Tribolium castaneum: one gene and its partner. The protein of the gene in region 1 purifies or fractionates together with the protein of each later gene. This does not show direct contact. Links are inferred from orthologs where the notes say so. Each region holds a gene or a part of one and is shown on either strand. Other genes may lie near its edges.

The links.
Region 2: the proteins of eukaryotic translation initiation factor 4 gamma 3 (region 1) and polyadenylate-binding protein 1 purify together in Drosophila melanogaster (affinity purification with western blotting; 3 studies listed by BioGRID, with this or other methods). This does not show direct contact. The link is inferred for Tribolium castaneum from reciprocal best matches to the Drosophila melanogaster genes eIF4G1 and pAbp.

What each region holds. Positions count from the first base shown.
Region 1 is NC_087398.1:12,806,454-12,813,711, forward strand, and holds the start of eukaryotic translation initiation factor 4 gamma 3, read left to right. Parts: upstream 1-2,577; 5' UTR 2,578-2,975; coding exon 2,976-3,040; intron 3,041-3,158; exon of another isoform or gene 3,159-3,408; intron 3,409-4,322; exon of another isoform or gene 4,323-4,893; coding exon of another isoform or gene 4,894-4,981; intron 4,982-7,258. Other genes in the region: zinc finger MYND domain-containing protein 11, read left to right, coding at 1-7, 54-456, 503-647, 696-813, 863-1,030, 1,079-1,201; protein LZIC, read right to left, coding at 1,633-1,764, 1,813-1,968, 2,018-2,153, 2,206-2,306.
Region 2 is NC_087403.1:5,258,223-5,265,316, reverse strand, and holds polyadenylate-binding protein 1, read left to right. Parts: upstream 1-3,228; 5' UTR 3,229-3,475; coding exon 3,476-3,668; intron 3,669-3,813; coding exon 3,814-4,380; intron 4,381-4,431; coding exon 4,432-5,549; 3' UTR 5,550-5,901; downstream 5,902-7,094. Other genes in the region: siz (IQ motif and SEC7 domain-containing protein 1), read right to left, coding at 1-148; ScsbetaG (succinate--CoA ligase [GDP-forming] subunit beta, mitochondrial), read right to left, coding at 6,638-7,094.

The DNA of each region.
Region 1 (7,258 bases):
TGCTAAAGTGGGTAGATGGTCGCTTATATGTGTTTAGTAATTCCGCGTTTTAGGTGATTCAAGAGACGAGCACGCATTTTGATGTTAGGTTTTTTGGGGGTAAATACGAAAGGTCGCTTCTGATCAAATCGTTAATTAAACCGATTGAAACGCCGCAATCGAAGTTGCAAATAAAGACGTCTTCGGCGTTTAACAAGGCGGTGGAGGAGTTAAGGTTCCATCAGCGCTTGATGCAGAACCCTGACGAGCTCCAGAAGTTGATCAGTTCGTCGAAAAACAGGGTCAGGAGTTTAAATAAGCAGCGAATTTCGACGTTGAAGAAGTCGCTTAATAGTTCACTGGAAGTGAAAAAGAGAAATTCATTTGAAATGAATGATGTTTACAAGTTTGAGGATAATCCATTCGGTCAGCAAAATTTAAGCCTAACGCATAAACGTAAAAGCAGTTTTTGTGAAGGTAATTTCGTTGTCTTGTGTTACTTGCGTCTTATTTGATTAATTAGGAAGTCCCGTGTCGAAAAAAAATTCAACTAGTTCCGTGGAGAAAAACGAGGAAGTTCACAATACTTCCGATAGCGTTATACACATATCAGACGGCGAAGACGATGAGTATCCCTATTACGATTATTCATCGGTTTCTAATACAAAGTAAATATGTGTGTCAGGTGTTTCCGAGTTTAATTTTTTTATTGTTAGCTATAATGGTTCATATGAGCAAGTTTCAAGTTCCACTGAAAATTACAGATTCCAGGACAGAAGCCAGGAAAATGGGATGCAGCAACTTGATCACCCTTATAGTGATTCAGTTGAAAAGGTTTGCTAATAAGCGACGTTACAGTAACTTGCTCACGGTTGGTTTGTAGATGAGAAGAAGACTTGAATGTGTGAGTGATAAAAAAGAGCTTATAAAGTGTGCAATGGACTGTATGCAAAGTGAGATTGATCAAATTACAAATAATCACAATGATCATTTGAAAAGGTTGTTTGAGTCCCACAATGCGCAGATATCGGAGATTAAGAAAAAGCAATGGGTAAGAAAGATTGGCCAAAATGAGCGGTTGTAATTCATTCATTTCCAGTGCTATAATTGCGAACAGGAAGCCATTTATCATTGTTGCTGGAACACGGCGTATTGTTCCCAAAGTTGTCAACAACAGCACTGGCAAGCAGAACATAAAAAAGTTTGCAGGCGTAAGCGCTAGTTTCATACAAAAATTAAAAAATGTTATTTTGTGTATTATCTATTTTTATAGTTTGTTTATCCTCTAATATCATTATGTAGAGTAATGGGAACATTGGCGTAATTTTCATTGTTTTGGTACTTTTTAGGACCAAGTTACGAAAGTACAATTCTAGTTAACTTTTTAATTGTAGGCAATAACTTGAGTTGTAAGAGTTTATCACATAGTGTTGTTGAAACTTCCAAATCATTTTTAAACGTTGTATCACAATTGAAAGTTATGCCACTACTTCATTGTTTGTTCTTATTTTATGGTTTAAAATAGTATTGCTTATAAATTTTATGTATTTGCAACGGAAGATACAATAAATGGCAAACGACCTGTTCTTTTATCTGCAGCTTTGTTAAATTATATGCATGTACAAATAAAGCCCTTATTTCTTGGTGCGTTTTTCATTCATCAGTCACTTCCACAAACTCAACGTTTTGGAAAGCATTGGCAATATTATTGTGTTTCTCCAAAAACTGCAGCTCTTCCATTGATAACTGTTCCCCCAGTTGTCTCAATGCAGTTAATATTTCAGCCTAGAAAAATGAATAAGTAATCACGTCTGAAATTGCTAGGTAAATGACCTTTTGTCTGTTAGTAGCTTCATCACTCAATTTATTAAGTTTACACTCTTGCTCAATACTGGATAATCGTTCTCTCAACTGCTTTGGTTCTCTTTTGCCAAAAAGTCTGATAACCTCTGGCGTTTTAAACGCTTCTGATATGGCAGCTTGTGTGGCCTTGAAAAATCGTATTTGATTTTTTGAAAAAATAAAGAACTGTTTTTACAAGTTGTACGGCTCCGAGGGCACTAACAAGTGAGATATCGCCTTTGACTAGTTTCGATAAGCTATCGTTTAATTCCTTTAACTGATCCATCGTGTCCTGTTTAGTCTCCTCATATTCCTCCGGGTCTAAATCCGCTCTAAAAATGCAGTTTCATCATTCGGGAGCATTGAAACGCGGTGACGACTAACTTGCAATTTTCTAAATCTCCCAGTTGTTCGACTAGTCTGTCCAGTTGATTTTCCAAATTTTGTTTCAGTTTCGCGGTTTCGACTTTTCCATAGGAGGTCATTTTGGTTGATTTGCAACTCAATTACTGGAAATTTGCATTTTTTTGTAGGTTAGATCAATTTCTGGACAATGCCCGTTATTTTTTCAAGTGAGCGGTTGGGTTAACTTTCGACGTACGGCGTGTTTGGTGTTTTTGTTGTTGGTGGGGGTTAAGTGAGAGAGGGACGCCGGGCGTGCGTCTTTGCTAAGGAAAAATTGTTTTAGTTGTGTAATTTTCCGTTGGGTGCGCTAGGTGTGCTTTTCTAGCAACGTGAAAGCCGCGTGTCAGTTTTAATAAAGTTGTAAGTTTAATTTAAATTTGAAGAAGTGACATTGGTTAAATTCGAGTTCGCATTAAGTTCGGGAGTGTGGAGGCTGTTGTCCGAATAGTGCAAGCACGGCCCGGAGTGCGTCACGAAACTAAAGAAAACAATCATGTTTTTGGGTTAAAAGTCCGCCATCTTGAAACATATCTTAACCTTTGATTAGTAATAGTGGTAGTGTTATCTAAGTGACGATTTCGAAAAATCCAGCATCATCAACATCGAATTTCGGTCTTTGGGTGCGACGATGTTGCGAAGCTTGTGAACTGGCCGGAAATGTGTGTTGTGCTGTCAGTTCTGAACATATGCAGTCGCTGAGAACGGATACGCGGCGGCCTCTGTGAGGGACGCGGCGCCCCAGGGCTGACATGAGCGGCAACCAGAAGCAGACAGCCGGGAGGGGGCCCCAAAACCAGGCCTACTCCACCACACTGTATCCTTTGAGTTACGCCCATCTGTCACCCGACTGTCATCCCCCCTGTCTTAATTGTTGCTGGCGCTGCATTGTTTTGAGTAGAATGTGAACGCCAGGCTGGTAAACTTTCATTAGTTCACATTCACCTGTCTATGCAGGCCACCAACCGCAGTCATTACCAATCCATATGGTGTTCCACACAAATCACGCCCAATAATTACAATTCGCGATTTGTTTCAATTTCGAACTCGCGTGACGGGGCTCCAGCTTGTTGCATCACTATGTGAAAAGTGAAGTGGTGGCATTGGATGTCAAGCGAATTCGCTGCTCTTTCCCTGATTTAATTACATAATTGTGTGTCATATTGCCACGCACGATAAACGCAGGTAAGGTCAGGTGTGACTTCGCCCTAGTTCATTACCGACACCTCCTGGTTCGGTTTCGAGTGCCTTTTTACCAAATGTTTTTTTGCTGGGTTTTCCCCGAATTTTTTTAAAAATGACCAGTTGAATGCGATGGTTGATGGTTGATCCGGAGTTGTGGTTGCGCATGCGTTCCCATTGTTCCTGGCGGCGGAACCAGGAACCAAGTCCCCAATGTTGCCAGGTCTGGTGATCTTTCACCAGATTTGGTGACTTTGATGCCAATCTTGTGAAATTCTGTGATTTTTGGCAACGGAAAATTTTAATCTATTAATTTATTCTGGATTACCTTTTAGCATGGGACGTTCAGAAGTATTGCGGAACCGATAAGATAAGAGGGTGTTTTTTTGAGCATTTCCTCTCGAGACTTTACTAATCCGAGTGGAAAGTCTTTAACTTCTTTAATAAATAAGTAGAAAATGTAATGTTTATATTTTTAAGTTTCAAGCGTCCCAAAAAAGCATTACTTTGGGCTAAATATGACATAGCTAACATTGGTTAGCTAAAACCGCAATTATTTTCAAAATTTTCGTTAAAAGTAACCCGAAAATTTACTATTTGTTACTAGGATGCAAAAAAGCACCAAATTGGAGGGAAATGGTATTTTTTAGTCAGTTTCAGTCACTAATTTGTTCTTAAATTAGAGACCTTGCAAAAAGTCACAAAAATAAATCGATGCATGTTTCGTTTGATTTATTATCCCGGTTTGGATCTAAACTTTATCGGAAATAAGCTGAAAAATTAGGAAATTTTTTAAAAGATTAATTAGTTTGTTCAAAAAGTAATGCTTGTGTCCTTACCAGGAACAAATCTGGTAGTTTTTCGGCGCGGATCTGGTGTAGTAATTTTTTTGCGCTGGCAACACTGCAAGTCGCACAGTCGATACAATGGCGGTGTCGCCGAAGTCATAATTTTTTGACTGACAATCAAGTTTATGCTAAAGACAGAAACCTCGTGTTCGCAATCGAAAAAAATCGCCGATTTTTCCGTTTATTTAACAACGAAACGTAACGCGACAAGTTACCAGCACCGTACCATGTGATGATTGGTTTGCGTGGTGTTTGGTAAAACGCCCTTATCGATTTTTGGTGTTTGGTGCAGGGAGACGTGCTTCGCATGTCCCAGCTCCTCTTCGGGTTTTCTTGTTGTTGTTTTGAAAATCACCGAACGTGTTCAGAAACTCACCCCAATGCAGTTTCGTCGTACCAATGACTGTGCGTTTTCTTCTCGTAAGTCGGTGGTTGGAAAAGTGGTTGTGGTGGTAGTGAGTCACACGACATTATTATGTCGAAGAAGTTTGATGCTGGACAAAAGCCTGTATTGATGGGTTATTATCGTGTGAGGGGAGTGACTTGCGTGGGTTTTTGATGCGTTATTTTGCCCAACTCGAGTTATTTGTCGCGTGAATGCGGCGTTTGTGATTTTTTTATTTTGGAATTTTTCGACAAGATGGTGTCGCGGTACGTGACCAATGGTCCTGTCAAAGAGGGCATATGCTTGCTACCACCCACGCATTACAGGATGATGCCACCGCAACGTAAGTTTTTTGCCCTAAGATAAACCAGTGACATTGACAATTGACGATGATGCACGTGTTTTATTGCCCGACATGCCTCGTTCTCGCGGCTAAGACAAAATCAATAATGCCCCCACAACTTACGAGAACTTAAACTTAACCCCAATTCGCGTTATTCTAACGAGATTGATTCATTTTTAATCACTGCTCTTCCCACTTTCATTAGCGAGTTTTCACCCTTTATATTAAATTATTTACTTCAACCTTTGATAAACTGTGTGGGTTTGTTTTTTTTTAACTTATTTCCGTAATGCTAAAACATGTTGCTCTAAAATCAACAAAAATGTTTGGTGGCGCAATGTTTAAGGAGCCGTCGCTTGTATAATAGAAAAAGACACGACATTAAAAAGATGAAATCATAAAAAATTGGTGCAAATATGAATTTCCCATTTGCATAAGTATTGTTTGTTTTTTTTTATTTTTACAGGATGTAAAACATTTTAATTAAATTTCGTTAAAACACTCAAAATGTAAGTCAACCGCTTTGATCAATAATACTAGATTATTAAATTATCATAACTCGGTAATTTGTTCTTGCGGTAATAAGAAACGACTTGCGTTTACCCACGAGATAATAATTAGTAATAATTGCTGATAATTGTGATTTTCTGTTATTTTATTATAAGATTATTAAAATTGTGGTTTGCTTGAAGAAGTTGTAATAAGTAAATTTTAATGAACACATGGAAATCAACAAGAAAAACGAAACTTATCTTATTTTTGTTATTTCCGCAAGAATATTTAAGCGTCCATCGAATATTCTTTAAGGTCACATTTTTTTATTTATGATTATTGAAAAGTTATTTTTTAATTGCGTCATTGTTCTTCCGGAGAAAAGCGATATGCTACTGATTACTCAGTAAGTAAACGCAAGGCATTTACGTTTATCCACGTCCATTTATTTATTGACGTAATGTCTGAAAATCATTAAGAAAAGACAGGAAACAGTTATTTTTTTCAGTGCTGTTACATTTTTTTGTCCTATTATTATAATTATTAGTATTACTGTTTTGTCGAATTAAAACTACGCAGCTGTTAATTATTATTAAATACATAATATGTATGTTGTAGGAATATAGTAATCAGAAGAAAGTACACATGCAATCATTGAGATTTCATGATAAACACAAATATCAAAGTGGCCTTCAGTTTGAAAATCTTTGTATCACTTTGTATCAAAATGTCATGCGTTGAAAACGTGCTGGGAGTCCTTTAAGGATTCTTGAATCTTGAATTTTTCTTAAATAGCTAGGTTTCTTGTTATCTTAATAAGCCATTGTTAGAAAATTCTACATTATTAAAATGAGAATTTGGTAGAAAAAAATCTCAATTAATTGCTAATCGGTAGATGATTAGAGCATTATTTGCACCCTATCTTTCATTAATTAAGTAATTAATTGCTTATTAACTTTCCATGGAACTTGTTTGTAAACCACTTTCATTTATTGATCCTGGTTACAGGATTATGAAGTAGCGTTTTTTACCTTGTATGAAAAATTTCCATTCTACCATCGTGTGAAAAAAATGTGGAATCTACCGGATAAATGTACTTCCTTTGTTTTGGTTACCATTTTGGAAAGGGTTAGGTGTGACCCCATTTCACAAGCGGTTATTAGTTAATTGTGTGTGAGAGAGTTAAATGTTAATAAATATTGTTTAATCAACGCCTGCACTTGTCATATTTATCGTAATAACAGTCCAATAACAATTAATTTGGAACCGATCATGGTGTGAAAATAGTCGTGTACTTCTCAGTGGAAAAATTTTCAAACACGTGTTTGCACTGTTTTATACTTTTCGAGTTTCTAAAGCACAACAAACAATAGCTTAGCCTAGTTAGAAGAGGCAGTTGTTTGCAGAAAATAAAGGTGAATGATTTACTTCCTTCAAAATTTGGGTAATTGGTTGTTTTCATTCAAGTTTGAATACAATCATTTGTAGTGACATTTATAACGTATTGTGTGGATCCTTGACTCCAGAGTTGTTCAGTGGAGGAAGCGAAAGATAAAAAGTTTGATAATATTCACAAATTAAATTAGTATTACACACACAATTCACGTGTTCAACTAGTTGCTTCTGACACGTAACAATGCAACACTTGGCAATTATGCATTGCAAAAATCACACCTTGAAAATCATGTGGGATAAACGGTAAAATACACACTAAATGCTTCATCGTTCTATTATAATTTTACTTTCTGCGAATAACAAAAGATTTTTTCAAACGAATTTGATTTG
Region 2 (7,094 bases), on another chromosome or scaffold:
GTTCTTGTTGTATTCCGGAGCGTCTAACTCTGACAACAGTTCTATCGCACACATCAACCGTATGCACAGGGTTCGACCTGACATGTTCGGTTCTAACTTGACTCTGCACGAAGGGTTGGGGAAACCCCCCTGGCGACTGTCCACGCATTACAAGCACTCACAATTCACGTACCATGATTGCACTTGCGACCGGATTGAACGGCGATAGTAAAAGTAATCGTACTTTCTACTTTTGTGTCGATCACTGGTGGTGGCCGGAAGCACTAGGGTTGTTAAATCGCGGGTTTTGTACACAGTTTGCGGATTACAAATGTCAGCTGACCGTGCCTCAGCACAGACAACCGAATGGAACGATCGGCACAGTTAGAAGAAGGCGAGCGGGGCTACAGCCTGACGTCACTTAGTCACAGTCCTTGGTGTTACATCACCACAAATAAACACCGAGGCAGATCAAACCCTGGTGCAACCTAAACCTGGCGCCCCGACGACATGTGCGACTCTACTACACGACCACAAGCCTCAAGGCTGATGCACGAGCAATTACCGCAAACGTGTGGGTGCTTGCCAATACCAAGAAACGCCAGCTAAAGAATCGCCTCAAAAACGACAGCGCGTTATAGACTAGCCTGAGGATATCCGTTCACTTTCCCTTATTTAGAAATCAATACGCCGTTCGACTGTGGCATATATGACACTTTGTGGGGACCCCGAGCGCGATTTCCGCCAAAGAGTGCATCCTCGAGGTTAATGACACCAGGACAGCCCCCAAATCCGACCGCCGCCTCCCTAATCCCATTATCCACAAAAACAAAACCTCCAAACAGGACTACCAACAAAACGCCAATTACCTTAATTTAATAAAAACCATCGACTTATTATCTTCTTGACCAGTGTGAACGGTCGGCGTCGCGACGTCGCCACGCATGCGCACAGAACCAAGTCAGTGGGAGGCGTCGTTTATGACATTTTACAACATCCTTGTCCCAGAAATGTACAACAAAAAACAAACAAACGCAAACTTTGCAAACAAAACACGACTGCCACTTTAAATCATTTGACGTTTCATCAATGAAACTGCGACCGATTTATGACAAGGGTCGCATCTCACCCTTGGAGGGATTTCCCCATTTTTTAATTATCGCAATAAATAAACGGGTGTTTGATGCCGTTTTCTCACCTTTCATCTTGCAACCGTTTCAGTTCCACCATTTCCAGCTCGAACCTCAGATTGCTGTTTTCACACAGCAAAAGATCCCGCTCGCTTGCAACTCCATCCAGTTCCCTCTTTAGCCGAATTATCTGGTCCCGTTGTTCCCGTATGATGGCATCTTTTTGGGCCAATAACGAATTTATATCGACTTCTATTCCTGCCATTGCAGGTCTCCTACTGTTCACACACACACGATCCTCAGTTGTTACGGTACCGTCCAAATTTTTAATCTGACGGGCATTTTCCTCCAGCAACGATTTGGTTTTTCCTTTTTTCACACAAGTTTTTCAAAAAAATTATCACATCTTATTCTGAAACGATATTGACAGACGAAATACAACGCGCCGCACTGTTCCTTGGTTTTTCTCACTATTATTCATCTGTCTCTCTTACGTCAGGAGCGAGAGCACAGAACAAAACGGGATGAACAAACCTACACACGTTGCCCCATCTGGAAATCCCCTCCAGTAACACTTCCAGGATGGTAACTTAGCGACTTGTCTTACCGGCCTACCACGAATTTCCGCACAAATTGCCGATAAAACGTGATTTCTCACACGAAAATGGGTGACTAACTTTGTTCACCTGCCTAATCAGCACAATAGTGCTTTGTAGATAAAAAAATCAGATAAAATGTTAATAACAATTACCATACATGGCCACGTGAGTAGTTGCGATGTTGCCACATTGCCATGTCCACAAGAAAATAAAGCACTCTTTGTTATTTTTGTTTGTTTTTAATGAAACAAGAGGTCCTCATGTTTCCAGTTTTAAATATTCTTAATCTACATCAAAAATCAAGACAACAGAAAATTTATTTATATTTATTCATTTTTAAACAATTTCTGTAATATATACAATTAATCTTGAATTTTAACTAACTCCGAAAAACTATTTTGTATGGATTTAACACAAAATAAACTTAGCCGATTACAAAATGAAGGCAAAAATTATATAAAATGTAATAACATTCATCTTGTTAGTCTCATCAGTGTTTTCTTAATCTTTGTTATAAAATATGGTATATAAAATCTATTTCTTCTCAAATATTTGTTATCTGACTCTAAAAAATTGCGTAAAAGAAAAAAGCACCTGTTTGAGCAAGTAAATTTACTCTCACTGAATTTTTGTTTAAACTAATAATAATATAAATCGTTATCATATACTTGTGGCAGCAGATAAGACCGTTACATATCGAAAAAAAATATTTACACACCGATTTATCAGTGAGAGTTGGTACTTAATTTTTTTAATGTGTTCGTTAAATATGAATATTAAAGCAAACTACTCTTAAGACTGTTCGTAATGCCATTAGTTGCTACCACACCATAGATGAATCACTCACTACTTCTTATCTTAATGATTACGAAAATATGTGAAAAATGAAGCTTTTTGGACAGGTCTCATCCTAATTACTTATTAAGTGCTACTATTAATATTATAAAAGACATCCGAATGAGTTAAAAAAATTGTTTTAGAGAGTTAGATTTCTTGAAAAAAAGAATTTTGAATTTTATAATCGAAAACATAAATTAAATAAATTTCACGATTTAAATGCTAAGAATTTAAAGCACGTAACGATTTCCGTTTGAACGTCCACAATTCGTTCTTTCAAATATGCCGCCACAAGTTTGACATTAGAAATTAGATTTCCGTTAGAAATTGTGTTCATATCAGCCTAAATTTGTAACAATTTGACTATAAAAAGTGTTCTGTGGTCACGAAAATTTAAGTCGTATTTTTATTAAACTTTTAAAAGTTTTATAGGAGACGGTACGTGTAAGAATTTTTAAAAATAGTCATCTTTGTCAACGGTCAAATTTTATGGTTTGGCAAATTTAGCTCGATTAAATTGAGATAGACGTCGGATTCTTTCTGAAACGATGTATGAAATCAAAAATGTGCTTTTTTTGCTAAATTGGTCGCAGGGTCCGTTAAAATTGATGTATTATTCAATATTTCATCACATGGCAACACTGGAATCAGTCATATCCGGCTTGTATAAGTAGTGAAAATGCTGTAACGACTCCATTTTGTTACTGTTGTTAGTGGTGTAAGCGTGTGGTTGTGTATCTTCTTAGAACACACAACCCACCTAAAAAAAAGCTAAATAATATTTACAAAAATCCAAAAAAATTATAAAAACTCATTAAAAACCCCAAAAAAATCGAAAAACAGTGGAAAAAACGAAAATAAACGGTTAATGTATATTTTTCGTTTCTTATGTTAACGCGTAGCATATCTGTGTAGTGTGCAAGAACGAAGATGAATCCGGGTGCTCCAAACTACCCCATGGCGTCTCTGTACGTCGGGGATCTCCACACCGATATCACGGAAGCAATGCTTTTTGAAAAGTTTTCCACTGCTGGACCAGTCCTTTCGATTCGCGTGTGCAGAGATTTGATAACGAGGCGTTCTCTCGGTTACGCTTATGTGAATTTCCAGCAGCCCGCTGATGGTAAGTGCGAACCCAGTGCCCATTTATTTGTTCCATATGGTACCCGACTGCCATTTAATATTTAATCCGTTTTGATTGTTAACCTTCCCCCACCACGCTCGCAACATTGAAATTTCTTAGAAATTGGTAAATGTTAATGTTGCAGCCGAACGCGCTTTGGACACCATGAATTTTGATTTAATCAAGGGCCGCCCAATTCGCATTATGTGGTCCCAACGCGACCCATCCCTTCGTAAGTCGGGAGTAGGAAATGTTTTCATTAAGAATCTAGATCGTTCCATTGACAACAAGGCTATGTACGATACGTTCTCAGCCTTTGGAAACATTCTCAGTTGTAAAGTAGCTCAAGACGAAAACGGCACCAGCAAAGGCTACGGCTTCGTCCATTTCGAAACAGAAGAAGCGGCTAACAAGTCGATCGAAAAAGTAAACGGCATGTTGCTCAACGGAAAGAAAGTCTACGTTGGCCGTTTCATTCCACGTAAAGAACGTGAAAAGGAGCTTGGCGAGAAAGCTAAGCTCTTCACCAACGTTTACGTCAAGAATTTCGGCGAAGACTTGACTGAGGAGCAACTGCGCACCATGTTTGAGAAGTACGGCAAAATCACCAGTTACAAGATCATGAGCAAGGACGACGGCAAGTCGAAAGGATTCGGATTTGTCGCCTTTGAAAGCCCTGAAGCCGCTGAGACAGCCGTTGAAGCTTTGAATGGTATGTTGCTTGTTGAGAGTGGCCGATTTTGTTTCTAATGTCTTTGTTTAGGTAAGGAAATCATCGATGGAAAGCCTTTGTACGTTGGACGCGCCCAGAAGAAGGCCGAGCGTCAGCAAGAATTGAAACGTCGCTTCGAAGCCTTGAAGATGGAGCGTTTGAACCGCTACCAAGGCGTGAACCTCTACGTGAAAAACCTGGACGACACAATTGACGATGAACGTTTACGTAAAGAATTCTCTCCGTTTGGAACCATAACATCGGCGAAAGTAATGATGGAGGACAATAGGAGCAAAGGCTTTGGCTTCGTTTGTTTCTCGTCGCCGGAAGAGGCCACAAAAGCCGTGACCGAGATGAACGGCCGGATCGTAGGTTCAAAGCCTTTATACGTGGCCTTAGCGCAGCGCAAGGAGGACCGTAAAGCCCACTTGACATCACAATACATGCAGCGTATGGCGAACATACGCATGCACCAAATGGGTCAGTTTATCCAGCCTGGAACGTCAAGTGGGTATTTCGTTCCAACGATCCCAGCCCCGCAGAGGTTCTATGGGGCGGCCCAGATGGCCCAGATCCGCACGAACCCGCGATGGCCGGCTCAGACCCCCGTGAGGCCCGGAGCCCAGGGCAGCGCTAACCCGTACGGTACCATTCCGACCACGTACCGAGCCGCGCCAAGGCCCCCGAACCAGTCCGCCGCTTTGAGGAGCAATATCAATGTGCCAAGACCAATAACCGGCCAGCAGCCACCGAATATACAAGGACGACCATTAGCTAGCCAAGCCGTTGTAGCACCTGCAGGTAATCGCCCAACTACTTACAAGTATACAGCAAATATGCGTAATCCTCCACAAGGTTTAGGCATCAGCAATGCTGCTCCGGTCCAGCAAGCTGTCCACATTCAAGGCCAGGAGCCTTTGACAGCCACCATGTTGGCAGCTGCCCCGCCACAAGAGCAAAAGCAAATGCTGGGTGAGAGGCTCTTCCCACTTATTCAACGCATGTATCCAGATTTGGCCGGAAAAATCACCGGTATGTTGCTCGAAATTGACAATTCGGAACTTTTGCATATGTTGGAACACAATGAATCCCTCAAAGCCAAGGTGGAGGAAGCCGTTGCTGTCTTGCAGGCCCATCAAGCCAAACAGGCTGCTATTAAAAAAGAGTAAACGGTCGCTTACTCAGACAAATAAATATAATAAAATGAAAAAAATTGCAAACATGTCTTACGACAAAAAAACTTATATAAAAATCGAAACATCATCATAAATGAAACTATTATTATGCGTTCGTGATTTTTGCTTGTTTGCAATTTTCACTATCTTAGTTAAATAGTTATTTCTTTGGTTTTTAGTTACTTTTCGCATTTTCCAATATCCTATTAATTGATGTATCTGCAACTTACTGAATTTGTAATATAAAATTGTACATTTCATATTTATTTTTCGTTCAAATTAATTTCTCAATCTTATGTTACTCTCTTGGTTTTTGGAATTTTAAAATAATAAATCTTAATAAAAACACATTCTTTTATTTACCACTTCACTACAATAAGATCTAAAAATAATATCTAAAGCACCAGAAATAAAATTCAAGGTAAGTATTGAAAGTACCAAAATAATTCAACATTTTAAAACACTAAAAAAAAGATCTAAGCTTACTTTTTCAAATGCCCAAATACGATTTTAAAAAATGATTGCGATTTGTCCAAGGAACAAGGGTGCTGTATTTTTTTTAATGACTTAAACTAGGATATAAGATGAAGGAATACTGAAAATTGTTTTAAAAAACTTGATTAATCGAAAAAGCAATAAAAAAACAGTACCGTAAAATTTTCTCACAAAAGTACATAACTTTTATCAAGCAAACTTCAAATTTTATAGTTATATTCACATTACCTTACCTGACTGCCTTAAATACAGAGGTGGGCAAAAGTATGGAACGAGTTTTTTCAAAAATAAATTTTCGAAATTCTTTTTAGTAAGTATTAGTACTTTTAGTATTTTAGAGCATAATCTTTTATCAAAAAAATTATCGTAATAGGGTGCCATTTGAAGAAAAAAAATTTTGAATACTTTAAAACTATTATCTGGGATATAATGGTGTAATGAAAAACGAATAGTATATGAGAAATTTTTATTAACCGAAAATACAATATCAAAACGAAGTAATGAAAACATTGGTCATTTGAACAGTTTTTTGTGCTGTTGACTAATGAGCAATATCAACAAATTAACACTTTATCAACAAAAACACGTTAGGCATTCTGCACCGCTTTTTTGGCGGCATCGTCGAGATTTTCAGCTGTTTGGATATTCATGCCTGAATCCTTGATAATTCTCCGGGCCTCCGCCGCATTCGTGCCTTCCAGTCTGACAATCAAAGGCACTTCAAGCTTCATCGCCTTCATTGCACCCACGATTCCATTGGCAATCGTCGCGCAATTCACGATCCCGCCGAAAACGTTGACCAAAATACATTTAACGTTCTTATCAGACGTGAGAATATTGAACGCGGCTTTGACCTGCTCCTCGCGGACGCTGCCCCCGACGTCGAGGAAGTTGGCGGGGTCGCCCCCATGCAGCTTGATGATGTCCATGGTGGCCATGGCCAAACCGGCGCCGTTGACCAAACAGCCGATGTTTCCTGTCATCCCGATGTAGTTCAGGTTGTATTTCGCCGCTTCGACCTCGCGGGGGTCGCTCTCGGTGACG